2 linked regions of the Drosophila melanogaster genome follow. The protein of the gene in region 2 purifies or fractionates together with the protein of the main gene of each other region. This does not show direct contact. Each region holds a gene or a part of one and is shown on either strand. Other genes may lie near its edges.

What was found. The genes of interacting proteins can lie anywhere in the genome.
Region 1: the proteins of RhoGAPp190 (region 2) and PlexB purify together in Drosophila melanogaster (affinity purification with western blotting, with the first as the bait; one study listed by BioGRID). This does not show direct contact.

What each region holds. Positions count from the first base shown.
Region 1 is NC_004353.4:38,934-46,263, reverse strand, and holds the start of PlexB (plexin B), read left to right. Parts: upstream 1-2,485; 5' UTR 2,486-2,839; coding exon 2,840-3,350; exon of another isoform or gene 3,351-3,490; intron 3,491-4,978; coding exon 4,979-7,330.
Region 2 is NC_004354.4:17,648,501-17,655,946, forward strand, and holds the start of RhoGAPp190 (Rho GTPase activating protein p190), read right to left. Parts: upstream 4,063-7,446; 5' UTR 3,999-4,062; exon of another isoform or gene 3,591-3,998; intron 2,811-3,590; exon of another isoform or gene 2,686-2,810; intron 2,401-2,685; exon of another isoform or gene 2,220-2,400; intron 1,739-2,219; 5' UTR 1,729-1,738; coding exon 446-1,728; intron 306-445; coding exon 1-305. Other genes in the region: IntS2 (integrator 2), read right to left, coding at 4,391-5,255, 5,322-6,958, 7,283-7,446. UniProt on the Drosophila melanogaster protein: GTPase-activating protein (GAP) for RhoA/Rho1 that plays an essential role in the stability of dorsal branches of mushroom body (MB) neurons. The MB neurons are the center for olfactory learning and memory.

The DNA.
Region 1 (7,330 bases), on a different chromosome or scaffold from region 2:
TAATTGGTTTTTGGTCAGAGTGTTGTTTAGTTTTTAAATAAACTTCTTTCGATTTAATTTTGATGTATGTATGTTGCCCCTTGCATTCTTCATAATGGCTGCCTTTAGTAAATATATTGGTCATTGTACTATAATAAATAAATATAATTATGTGTAATATAAAAATAACACATTTTTCGTCATGATTCTTACATTTTATTTTCACTTATATATGTTATGTTGTCTTATATTTTTTATTAAAAGTTTATTTTGTAGTGTGCTCGATTTTTAATCCAAAACTGTGTTACATAATGAGACGTATTTTTAATTACAATGAAGAGGATCAAAAAATTAAAAGATTACCATTCCTTTTTCGGAGTAGACAATGTCACAAGAGCTCGTGCTTAGCATTTGTTGGGGTCAATTGCTTCCAATTTTTAAAACCAACGAATATTTAAATATTTTTTTGTAATCAGAAATTTATCAATAGATTCTACATGACCTTGCTTAATTATCACATAAAGGAAAATATTTGCGCGGTTTAAGAGCTGGAAGTTCCTAAGTTTACCATTAACCTTTTTATTGATATTATTTTGTTTCGCTTTTTAATACTGCATTCTTAGCTTCACGGCAGCAGCGTTGCCAATGTAGATTTTTTCCTACTAGAATAAAAAAATACAGAATAAGCAATCATTTGCGTCATTGTGAGTTGTGAGTGCAAACCAACAAAACTGGAAAGGTGGAAACTAATTTATAAAATCAAAAACGTTTTCCCGATGACAAGCGATTTGTTCTTAGCTGGGAATAACACTATTATAATAATAATATTATACTTATATAATTCCTAATAATTTGCTCCAAGCATACATTTTTTTTTTTGTAAAAAGAAAATTAAAATTAATAAAAAGTAAGTAAGTAAGAGCTGCGTATCATTGTGCCGTTTGATATTCCAAATTCCTAATAAATTATTCTCTTATTGAGTTGAAAAATATCCATGTTTGTCATTATATGTGTTGTAAAGATTATAGACAGTTTAAGTGTACACATTAACCTCTTTGGTCAATCTAATCTAACTTTTTGGTAAGAGATGGTTTATCTCTTTAGCATCTCTTATCGCAGCATTTTCTGCGGCAGGTCTGGTTATGTTTCGAGTGTTCACGTCGGCTGTTAACGGATTTTTGATACATTGTTGTTATGTGTAAACAGTTCTATTTATGTACTTGTACATGTTGCACAGCGCAAATATTGTCGATTAACCATGGTTTCCCGTGCTAAGTTTCGATGTGATGCCAACCAAGTATAAACTAAAGATCCTGTGTTATACCAAAACGAATTCGGCGTTGTCAAGATCGATGTTCCCGATTGCTCTTCAGTTCACAAAGAATTTTCACAGTAAATAATGTGATAGCAGCATAAGTTTCATTAACTATCGCTTTGAAATATAGTCGGTTAACCGAAGTACACCCTTGCAAAGTGACTACACAAATGGATTGATGAAGCATTTTTATAGGGGTCAATATCCAATGCTAAGTGTTGAAAAAAATCCACAAATAAAACTTCAATATCTGTAGTGGTTCCCTAATTTAACTTATATATTCGGAGAATAAATGAAATTGTATATACATATGTACGTATGACAGGATCAGAAATCTCTCTGAGAATATATAAAAATCGAATCTTCAATTCAGTCAAAATTTAAAACCCACCGATATAATCTATTTAGTGATACTTATTTAACTAAGTGTTAATAATTTACAGGTCTTAATGACGGTTGGTCTTAATTTACAGTTGTAGAGAAATTCAATAAATTATTAATAAGACAATTGATTAGCAAAATAGCCATTCGTTGGACAAATTTTCCAAAAATTGTTGAATAATAATAATCAAATTTTTTAAATTTATATAATTTTAATAGTAAAAAAGGTACATAAGTAAAATTAGTATAAGTATATACATAAATAGTCCCAAACACTACGTGGCGTTGAAGCCTCCATGCCATGAGAAACCCTTAATGAAATAATTTAACATTAAACATGTTATGATTTTAAAATAATTTTATAAAATTTTAGCCATCGTGCCACATAAATCAATGTTGTTCAAAACTTTGTGTAGAGATAGGTGGGTCTGTAACACTCGAATCAAAAACAATATTAAGATAAAAATAGCGCGCACGGCAAGTGTTGCATGGAAGAAGATGAGATCAATTTAGATTCTTTGGAGATTGCTCTTTTTAACGCGACTACCATTTCATTGATATTATTTTACAAAAATGTTCCTGGAACATTTTAGACTCCATCGGTGGTGTCTTCTTTCTTTTTTCTTTTAACATTAGCCAATTGATTGGATGTGGAATCAGAACTGAAAACATTTAAACGATATCTACATAAATACTTCCGAGGTTTTTAATGGTAAGCTTCCCTTTAATGTGCTCCTTGTGAATACAGCATTACAATGCCCTCTAGCTCGATAGTTCAATTTGTATGCGATAGGCTGATACAGCCGATACTAATAATCTGCTCTAGGACTGATAGTGTACACACAACGTTTGAGCGTTGCCTAAGAAGTTTTTTTTAAATAAATATTTGTTTACATTGACTAATCGATTTTTTGTGTTAAACAACCTTATAAAAAATGCGCTAAACCTAAAATAGCCAAATGGATCATTTTAATTTAAAAATATTTATGCACCTACAGTGAATCAGCGGCATATAAAATTAATTCGCATTAAATTCAATCGATATTAAAAAGTTTATATATTAAGGAGAGAGAATGTAGAGCTAAATAATAATAAAAATGACATATGGGGAATTGATGCCCAAACTCAACTACAAACTGATCATACACAAAACCACAAATAAATATGTTGCGAAAGGAATTGTATTGTGCAAACATTATACATGTTTTACATGTACTGTGTATTATTATCATACTCGGTTCTCAGCATTATTGCGTTAACTGCATTGAAGAACTGCCGGCTCAGGCGTTATCTCCCTTAAATGACATAGTCGCCCAGTTTAACTTGCCATCAATACCAGTTCAATCAACAGCTTCCAGCTATGGCAATCGATCAATTGGAAACAATATAGAAAGTGTTAGAGACTCTCAATCTAAAAATTATTTTACTCACATGAGCTTCGACTTTATGCACAATGTTTTGTTTGCGGGTGCTACAAATAAAATACTTAAACTTAACGAAAACCTTCGAGTGCTGGCCGAGGCTGTTACTGGGCCGTTACATGATTCCCCGCAATGTCACGCTGGAGGCTGTCCGGAAGATATTGAGACATCGCTTGTCAATAACTTCAACAAAATTCTAGTAGTAAGCTACGCTCACGATGGTATTCTCATAGCGTGTGGAAGCATTCGACAAGGTAAAATAGCAAACACATATCAAAATAAAAATAAAATACTTAAGTCGGCGACTTCGTATGGGACCGAAACTCCTGACATATCGTATTGGTTTATAGAAGTTATTGGTCATTTTTTGTAGTCATCGTAGAACAATGTCGCAGTGTTTTTGAGCTCCACATAAAAAAGCGGCGAATATAAGTAATTATTCAAAAGTGCGGAAGGAATATGATGATAAACAAAACAGGATTTTAAAATGTTATAAATTAAAAAATCTATAGTTGAACTCTTGAAACAATTTGGGTAGTATTAACGTTAAAGTATTAAAATAAAACAAGATAATATGCTATAGTCAAGATCTCCGATACTCAGCTAGTGTGAATGCGAACTCGAAATCGAAATTTCATCATTTTTCTGGGATATCGATAGATATTGGGGAATAAAAGAAGAAACAATTTGAAAAATGTTCAATAGTGTGGGCGTGACCGGTTTGGCGGCTTTAGGGAGTTAGAGTAGGCGTGGCAAAAAGTTTAAGCAACTAATAAAATTAAAAAAAATATTCTAAAATGTTTGCAAAAATATGGGCGGGCAGTTTTGGGCATAATATTACTTCAATCATGCGATGCGAATCGTCTTTAAAATACTTTTCAACGAATCAGTTAACAATTTTTACTGTTCCTGAAATCAATTCTGATCGAATAAACGAATTTACATATTTGGTAAGTTTTGGCCAATTTCGTAGCAATATGATGAAATTGCGCTCTTTTTTAGGAATATCAAATTGGAATATAACAAAAAAAAAACTGAAACTAAACAACTGAATCTAATGTGCATTTTAAATAATAAAAATGGATCATTTTATACATCATATTAAAATTAAAAAAATTTCATAAAAATAATACGTAGTAGAAAATAAAAATTTTTAACATAAATAAAAATATGAAAACTGTTTATTGCAAGTCATATGTATCTTGAGGCACGAAGTGCGGACACAAGCACTCAACAATCATTGCCTTATTAATTTTTCACACGTCGAAAGCTGAATACTCTAATGAATATAATAATATTATAAAGTCATTTTTGAAATTTTTTTTTGTGATAATATGTACATAGGTTTGACTCTTTCTAATCTATTTTCAAATAATAATAACGTTAAGGCAATGCAAAACAAGAATTTTTCGCATGGTGCCAATTGATCAAAAATAATATAGATTTAAAGTCTATGAACTTCTAAGGTGAAGGGCATATATTGTCAAATTTACAATGCATGAGCACACGTGTGCACACACACAGATGTCTGGTATCACTGTATGCGTAGAAAAGAGCTGTTCGTTGTAGCGCTCTCCGCTCTCTCGCTCTCGAACAAAAATTCGAGAGAGCCTGGAGCAACCTCTAGAGCCACGGCGAGAAAATCGTGGGCTAAGGACAGGCAGACGGACATGAGTAGATCGACTCGGTTAGTGATCAAGATCAGGATTTTTGATATTTTATAGGCTCGGTGACGTTCCGTTCTACATGTAGTATACATTTTTACTTTACAAGTTACGGGTATATCAAGTCCAATGGATACTATGACTTAGGTGTTATATTTTGTCCTTAAAATAGGTTTTAAAAAATTCCGCGATAGTAATAAAATTATCTTTATTTTCAGGAGCCTGCGAAATTTACAGCCTGCCACGTTTTCCGGCAACGCCCCAGTTTTTTGCAGTTCCATTGGCTGCTAACGATGAAAACGCGTCTACATATGCATTTGTAGGTCCGGCGAGATATGCGTGGAAAGAAGAGGATATTTTATATGTGGGGACAACATTTACGAATGTTGGTGATTATCGTCATGACGTGCCAGCCATTTCGTCCCGCCGACTTGATGATTTAAACTATGCTGAATTTTCAATACAGCAGTCAATTATAAATATCGATGTAAAATATCGGGATCATTTTCTAGTCGATTATATTTACGGCTTTAATTCTTCTGAATATGCGTACTTCATAATTGTTCAAAAAAAATCACATTTAGCTGATGAGGCCGGTTATGTAACACGCTTGGCACGCATTTGCATTACAGATCCTAATTACGACAGCTATACTGAAATAACTGTTCAATGCACTGCAACTGAAAACAATGTTGACTACAATATTGTAAGGGATGCGAAAGTAACTCCAGCCAGCCACAAATTGGCGCAAAAAATGGGCATAAAAAAAGACGATCACGTTTTAGTAACGGTTTTTTCGCCCTCAAGAGAAATAAGTAATCAGCCAGAAAGTAAGTCTGCTATGTGTATATATAGCATTAAAGATATTGAAGACATGTTCATTGAAAATATCCATCTGTGTTTTAACGGAACCACAAAAGATCGAAATTTGGGCTATATATCCGGCACCATTAATGATGGCAGATGTCCAATAGTTGGTTCGCTCGGTAACATTTACAACTTTTGCTCTGTGGGACTTAAAATAAGCGGAGTATCCCCAATCACTGCACACGCACTTTTTCATTTTGATAATGTTTCAGTTACGTCAGTCACAGCAACTTCAACGACTGATCAGCAGCATTCTCTTGCATTTCTTGGAACGAACATGGGAGTAATCAAAAAAGTTTTATTATCTGGCCAAAGTCCGGGCGAGTACGAGGAAATAGTTGTGGATGCTGGAAATCGTATACTACCAAATACAATGATGTCGCCAAAAAAAGATTTTCTTTACGTACTTTCTCAACGAAAAATAACTAAGCTTAGAATCGAACACTGTTCTGTGTACACGAATTGTTCCGCTTGCTTAGAGTCTCGGGATCCTTTTTGTGGATGGTGTTCCTTGGAGAAGCGGTGCACTGTACGATCAACATGCCAGCGAGATACATCTGCGTCGAGATGGCTTTCATTAGGTAGTGGACAGCAATGCATAGAATTTGAATCTATTATCCCAGAGAAAATACCAATTTCTGAATTATCGCACCTGCATTTAATAATTCGAACTTTGCCCGAACCTTTTAATGCAAAATACCGATGTGTTTTTGGAAATTCCACCCCCATTGATGCCGAAATTCTGGAAAACGGACTCGGATGTGCTACTCCCCCATTAGATGAAAGACCATTAATACCAACAAACACTGATCATATTTTGGTGCCATTGTCAGTAAGAAGTTCGGAGACAAATAAGGATTTTGTATCAAGGAATTTTGCTTTTTTTGACTGCTCACATCATGGAAATTGCCAGGAGTGTCTACAAAGTTCCTGGGGTTGCAACTGGTGTATTTTTGATAATAAGTGCGTTCACAAGTCTTTGCAATGCCGTAACATAGAAAATGCTGTAAGTACTGTTGGTCACTGCCCCCACTTAAAAAAAAATCGTCCGGAAATACTTCTACCCGTAAGAGTGCCAATAGAAATTCGGCTAGAGATTGAAAATTTACCAAAACCCAAGAGCGCACATGCTGGTTTTTTATGTACAATACATATTGAAGCTGCTCAGATGCTACTCCCTGCTCACGTTGAGTCAAATAAAATTGTAGTTTGCGAAAAAACACCATATTTCTACGAGATTAATACACATGAATATCAGGCGAAGGTTGTAGTTACATGGAACTTCCAGCATTATGTGGACACCGCAATTGTTACATTATACAAGTGTGACGTGTTGGGCTCCCATCGGGAACACCCTGATTGCAGTTTGTGCGTAACTCGAGATCCAAAATATAAATGTGCTTGGTGCAGCAACTCATGTGTATATAATGAAACTTGCATAGCTGATAAAAATTCTATCAGCTCAGGATCTAAATCCGCTATAGAAAACGAGTGCCCATTACCACGGATTGATATTATTAAACCATTATCTGGGCCAGTCGAGGGTGGAACTCTTATTACAATTGAAGGAAGTAATTTGGGCATAAGGGAGGAAGATGTTCGTGGCAAAATATTTATTGGTTCTGTGCCTTGTGAACTAGAAAATTATCAAATATCGGTAAAAATTGAATGCCGGACTGGAGCATCACTGTACGAAATGTCTG
Region 2 (7,446 bases):
GCATCTTGTAGCGTGAATCCTCCTGTATGACATCGGTTATCTGGCGCACATCTTCCTGAGTGATGTTGTCAACGTTCTTGAACTGTAGAAAATATTGAGCATGTTCCAGCAGCAGCTCCACAAAATTCTGTTTGCTCTTTTCAATGATGTCGTCCTGGTGAATGTCGTAGATCTGCTGGCAGTCGTGCTCCGAAAGCGCCTCAAAGCATTCGCGTCCCATGAAGAGGACGCGCACCTCCGACAGCTGCTTGCCGGGCGTCACAAAGCCCGACTCCTCAAGTAGCATTTTGAATTGCTGCTTCCATCTATGGATGATTATATAATGGTATAGAAAGGTTTTATATATAACTGAGAGTTCAATGAATCAATGAATACAGTAATTACAGTAAAATACATTACATTTGTAAAATGCCTTAATGAAATTACACGTTTGGTCTGAACTCACCCAATTTTTTTCTTGTCCTGCTGCACCGAGTTCAAGTAGTTACGGAAGACAGTCTCTGCCTCGGAAGTCTCTAGCACATCAAAGGGAATGCGGGCCTCATCCTCCGCCTCGTCCATGTCCACCAGCTCCGTCCACGAGGCCTGCGGGCACTCGAAGAAGTACTGCTCGAACTCGATGTGATTCTGCAGATAGTTCCTGGCGCACTCCCAAGCATCGTCATCGCTGATATTCAAAGCCCCGATGTCCGGCAGCAGGTACTCCAGGGCCAGGGCAAACTTATCCAAGTACTGATGCAGTTTTTTGTTCAGATGATCGTCGCGCAGCTTCTTCATGTGCCGCCGGAATAGCTTTTGGCCGGCCTCGTGGCCGAATATGTTGAGGAACTCGTTCCACTCGCGATACTGTGACAGCATCTTGGAGCCCTGCGACCACAGGACGTGATAGTCGGTGATCTGGTTGCGTATTAGTCGCGTCACCGCCTCGGATCGTGTGTCCAGCAGTTCTTTGCGTGACTTGGCCGACTCCTGGTAGGAGATGATCTTGACACGGTTCTTAACCTTGTCGATCATCTGGGCGAGCAGGAGGAATGCCAAATCGATGTTGATGCTCTCGTGGGCCGACGTCTCGATTAGCTGCACAGTGCTCTTGTAGTCCTTTCGCTGGCTAATTTTCTCCGCCTCTCGAACATACAACTCATAAGCGTCGTCGTTCTTTGTGGTCACCAGCACCAGTGGCTTCTTGTTCTTTAGTATGGTTGCGATGACATTCTGCACGAACTCCACCTGCTTCTCCACACTGCGATTGGGCACTGGACTAACGTCGAAGACGACAACAAAGCCATCGATACTGAGCCGGCCATCGGGCATGACTTTCTGTTCGTACTCCTTCTCGATGCCCAACTGATTCTTGCATATGTACATTAGCTTCTCCGCGGAGAAGACCTTGGTGGCCGTGCACCGCTTTGAGTATGGATCCATCTTTCCCACCTTAAAGGCTTGGAACGTGGAGTCGTCCATGAACTCCGTCTGCTCGATGATATTAAACTGGTACTCGACGCCCTCCTCCGTCGTCTTGCGCACATCGCCCCAGTAAAGGAAGTGGTCGTTGTTCACGATCCGGCCACTAAAGTCGCTTTGGCTAAGCACTGATATGTGATCGATGAAGTAGTCGTCGGCCATCGGGCGCATGAATCTGTTGCACAGGCATGACTTGCCCACTCCCACCTGCCCGCGGTCCTTTTCGGTCCCGGATAGTCCAATGACCGAGATGTTAAACTGACGCATCTTGACGTTCCTGCAAGGATTCAAAAGTCGAAGGAGAGAATTAGATACCTGGCTTATAGACTCGCAGATAAATGCTAAAAGTGTTATGGAATAGGTAATTCCGGATTTGGTATTCTGCAGGTGTTTTCGTTCAAATGTATGATTGTGCCTTATCATATCGATAAGGTGTTATCTACTGGCGCTTTTCCTCACATGCCTATCAACATGACACAATGTTGTAACATTGTATCCATCGCAAATTGATTCATTCAATCGGTTGTTAAGGTAATATTTTAAAATATCACAGGAGATAACCTGTTAACGTTGTATGAAAAGGATAATATGCATATGGATAATATGCTTTTCAGGATTTCACATAAAGATATATTCCTTATTATAGGGATATACGAAAGAAAAATAGCGTAGAATAGACCTTGGCTCGGCTCGATATATACAAATGTGTTTTCGTGAAAACGTCAGCTTATGGATATCTTTGGATATTCAGGGATAACCTCTCAGTTTCTCCGGACACACACGGAATGGAAAACCGTCGATTTCTGGTCACTTTTTCACGGCAAATGGCTGGCTTGCGATGCCAGCCGATGACTATTATCCAAGATAACCTTCGAGTTGGAGAATCGCCCCGTGTCCTCCGCGCCGTCTGCTCCAATTGGCCGCAGGACCTTCACATTTCCGCACACTTTTCGCCAGTCTAGGACTTTGTCATGAGTTCCTTTTGGCTACAACTACGCAGTTACGGATACATCCACGGATTGGGGGTCCAAAAACACGAGAGAGCGAGAGCGAGAGATTGGCTGCTGCGATGTGACAAAAAAAAAAAAAGAAACGGAGAAGAAAAACGCGCAAGCGATTTTCTTATGCCGGCGCTGCCCGAAAATTCATTCCATGTGATTTTTGGCCAGCGAATAATATACGCGAATCGCGATTTCACAAAAAATGCACAGGGCTCTTTTTTACCTGCTTTCTTTTGGGTTGCTAGTTTGATCTTTGTATTTATTTATATGGCTAGTTTTTATACAACATTTTCGGCAAGTAGGGAAAGTCAGTCTGCAACAAATCCTTTTTCCGTCCTGACTGCGGCGGTTGTTCTGTCGCAGCGCTTCTTTTGGTGCTGCAAACGACACGGCGCAACTCTCTAAAGAGAGAGAATCAGAGTCAGAGTGAGCGAGCACGAGCGACTGAGAGTGGAAAGTAGAGAGAGCGCGTGGGTGGATTCGGATGTGAATGTGTTTGTTGTTGCTGTTGCTAGTGCACTCCAATTTGTTGCTGTTATCCTCGAGTGGGAGTGCAACAATGTGGGTGTGTGTGGTTGTGCGTTTCAATGAGAGTGGAAATAATAAATTCCCCACTGGCCTTTAATTGAGTTTTTCCGGCGTACAAACCACCGCAAACACACACACACACATGCTGGGCAAGTGCAGCGCAGAAGCGAAATTGGATCTGCAACAGATTTCCTGTACATTCTCCGCGCTGCACAACAACAACTAACAACTAACAACAACAACAGCCACAGCGCAAGAAACGGAGAGCAACGATCCAGTGATAACAACAACGACAAAGGCAAAAAGAAAGGAGGAAGGGGAGGAGAAGAGAGAGTACTGCAAGTGCATGTGCAACGGTACAATTACAAAAACACAAACGGGCGCGGCGGGAGCGGCAGAGCGCAAAGACGAGAGACAAAACACCATACAATTTTTGGAAACGAATTTTAAGATTTGTTGCAGAAAAGAAAAACACTGTTGCCGCATCCGCCTAGCCATCCCGCTCTGGCGCACACACTCCCAGCAGCGGGGCATCTCGCTCTCTCTGCGTGCTCGCTGGCTGCGTGTGTGTGCGTGGGTTCTGTGTGTGTGAACAATTACCTGCAGCTGCGCACAAAGAATTCAAGTTTAATCCGCCTCGGCGACACTTTTTCTTGAAGCCCGTGCTTCTTGGCTTTTCCAGCCAGTCACTTGACAAAATACTAAGCAATTGTATTTGTTGTATTTGCTTTAATAATTATTTTCCCACCATGGAACTCTCACTCACTCACACACACGCACACAGCAGGCGCACACACTCAAGACAAGGGAGAGCGGGAGAGGGAGAGCGAGAGGAGAGAGGAGCAGCGCGTACACAACGTATACAAAGGACAATTACGAATCAGCATCGTAAACGCACACTGAAAAAGCAGGTCAGATACGTCCTGACTCGATTCAGGAATCAAAACACAAAACTCAATGCCGAATGCCAGTCGATTCGCATATTACGCACGCACGAACGCTACTCACAATTATTGTAATTCACATCCGAGCTTTAATTTAACAACAACAAAAACTAGAGCTGGAACTAATGTCGATGCTTGTTAGTTTTTATCGATAACCCGATACGCGTATGGGTGGCATGGCCGGGAACGATAGATATATCTGGTATGTGTACTCGCTAACCAAAGTATATTATCGATAAAAGTAGATTCCGATAACAGCTGCGTAGTTATATATTTATTTGAGGCGCCAAATTTAAACTCAATTAATTAATTAGTTATATAGAAATGGTTTTTGCAATAAGTATTTATTCTGGTCAATGTTGTTATAAATTTTACAAGCACTATTATAATCAGCCGGGGGGCGGAGTGGGGAAAGGTTGCTTACGACTATGAAAAACAAGGCGGGATCGAGTCCAACTAATACAGGTCCGATTTTTTCATGACCGCCGTGACCAGTGCCTTAAACGCGTCCTCGATCATGATGATGTGCAGCTGGGCATCCCGATACGTGCAGAGCTTGTCGCTATCGGTGAGTGGCATTTCCATTGTGGTCATGCCCAGCGATGACTGCGAATGCAGAATGCGCCCGGTGGTCATCAGGATGTTGACGCAGTCGTCGGCCAGAATGGGAAACGTTTCCACGAAACGAACCATCGCTGGCATCACATTGCGCAGGAATCTACACTTGGTCGATGCGGTCAGCATGGACAACGTCGTCTGGATTACATTCAGGCAGAATTTCGAGACGCCCAGACTCTTGGGTATCGAATAGTTGAGCACCAGATGGGAGGTCAGATCGATGGTAAAGATCTGTTTTTCCATTTCCGTCACGTTGAGGAATTCGTGAACAAAATCAATGCATATGTGCATCGATGGCACACTGGCCACCATCATGGGAATAACCGACTTTGGATACGTTTGGAAGTGCACTAGTTTCGCCAGCGAAGGCTCCGAAATGAATGCCTGATGCACATAGGTGCCAATGATGCCCTGTATCTCACGCAGCTCCAGATGCGACACCCGATCCGTTGCCTTGCTGGCTATGTAGTCCAGCACCTCCAGCAGAATGTGCACGGCGGCGCTCTCCTGCGAGGCAATCAGCGTGGTCCTTAGGTCCTCCCAAATCGCATCCGTCTGCATCATGCCATTCTTGTCCAGCACCTGCTTCTGCTGCATCTGCATGTGCACGTTGAGATAGGTCTTCGAGGCGGCTAGGCTGCCCTTCAGAATGCGCAGCAGGATCATCAGCAAATAGGGCGAACAGAATACGAAGCGTGGACAACTGTTGATCAAAAGGAATGCGAAAGAATTTTAGGAAACAACACACGAAAATGACGAGGCAACCCACCTTAGCACCTCCATGGGCTCCAGAAGACTCTCGTTGGCAAAGGTACGTCGATCCATCGTATCCGAGCCGTTGGTAATCGCTCGCAGCGACATGATCCACAGGGTGGTGGGCAGCACGGCATTCAGGCGCAGCCAAATATCGTTGTACAGATCCTTGACGTATCGCGGCACCGACTTGGCAAACACCATCGGCAGATGCTTCACCAGCTGTTGTCCATACTGCGCCTGCGTTTCTGGGGGCATCTGGAGTAGCTGCTTAAACACGCGGATGGCTAGATGCGGTTTCGTTTGGATGGCGGCCAGTGCACGATCCAGGGTCTCCGGCTTGAGCTCATGCTTGCTTACCACCACCGTGGAATTGCCCTGGGCCAGATTGTGCTCCTCCAGCCAGTCATCGACCATGCTGAGATGCGGATAGTTGGAGATAATCAAACGCAGCAGCGGATGGAAGAGCGAGAGATAGTCGTTGTGGTAGTGGTGCGCCTTCTGGAGCAGATACTTCAGTGGCAGTCCGCCCAGGAAGTTGTTGGAGTACTCCTTCTGCTTGCGACCACCCAAAGCGCTGAGGTTCATCAGTCGCGTATCCTCGTACAACATGAGGTAGTAGATCATCAGCAGCTGGGCGGTTAGTGGACACGTCACCTCGATCTGGTTGAGCTCCTGACTTTCCGCCATCGGTGGCAGCTCCTCGGCGAAGAATGTGAGCTTGGATGTGCGGAACACGTGCAGAATTTCCGCCTCAGTGAAGGGCCGGTGCATGTGATCAATATTCACTTTTCCGGTGGGATTGGGTATTATCAGCGTGTTGACAAAGACCTCCACCAGGGCCGGCATCACAGGATGCACTGGCCTCACCGAACTGCATATTTGCTTGAAGATCCACGACTTAATGGGCACTTTGTGCTTGAGAAATGTCCTCGATTTCAGCAGTTGCTGGATGCAGTGCACCGGCAGGTAGCACAGTATGGTGCCATTTAAATTCGGAGTGACGGGTACGCGAACCGCATGCAGCGCCACCACCTGCTCCGTGAACAGGTCCTGTGTGAAGAGCTGCTTGATTCTGTTTGTACTGTTCGGCCGGATGGGTATCTTCATGGCCAGCGTGGAGCAGACCATCTCGCTGATGGCCGAGATCTGATTGCTGTGAAAGTGAATGGCCAGAAGCAGGAGCATCTCACCCAGCGAGGTGCTAGTACCGGGGCGCTTGCAGAAAAAGGCATCCTCCCGTATGAGCCACTGCAGCCACTCCACAGCCTTGTTCTCCAGTGGAATGGTGGACACCAGCGAGGGACAGGCGATGAGCATGCACAGCGCCAGCGTTACAAATCTCACGCCCGAGGGCGTCGCCTGCGGACAACTCGTGACCAGCTGCGACAGAGCATTGATCTCGTCGTCGTTGAACTTCAGGCCACCGATGCCGCGCAGGGCACAGTACAGACGCAGCAGCACCGCGCCCTGCAGATTGAAGTCGCGCAGCTCCGCCGCATTGGTCGTCGTTTGAATCACCTTCTGTAGCAGCTCCACGCGCACCAGATTCAGTGCGTCCCCCTTCCGCTTCTGGCTGGAGCGGATGTAAGCGGCGAACCAGGAGCGCAGATTCTGGTCATTGCCCAGCAGCAGGCCCGTGAGGAAGGCTATCTGTGGGGAGTGGTTGAAGTTTGCATTGTTATCTCATTATTCGTAAATATTGTCATACGTCCAAATAAGATTCAATCGCTCTAGCGAATTAGAGCGAGATAGCTAAGCAACATTTTCTCGCTTTTGCTTTTGCTTAACACATGTTACACAAAAATAAGCAGAACTCCAAATGAATGGTACTCCAAACAAAAAAGATCAATCAACAAAATATGATCAAAAAACATTTCTTATGTACGTTAAATTTAAATGAAATGCAAAGAATTTCCTAACGATTATAGTGTTGTGGTAAATCTGCACCTTACTGGTCAATATTACCCTACTCACCAGATCCTCGGGATGCTTGAGCGTGAGCTTAAGCATAAACGACGGCACCTTCAGCATATCCACGCACATGGACCTGTTGGCCAGCGCCTGGGAGGGATTCATCTCGCTGAGCCCCATGAGCAGCATTAACCGGTGCTTGCCATCGCTGCCATCCTCGTCGCAAT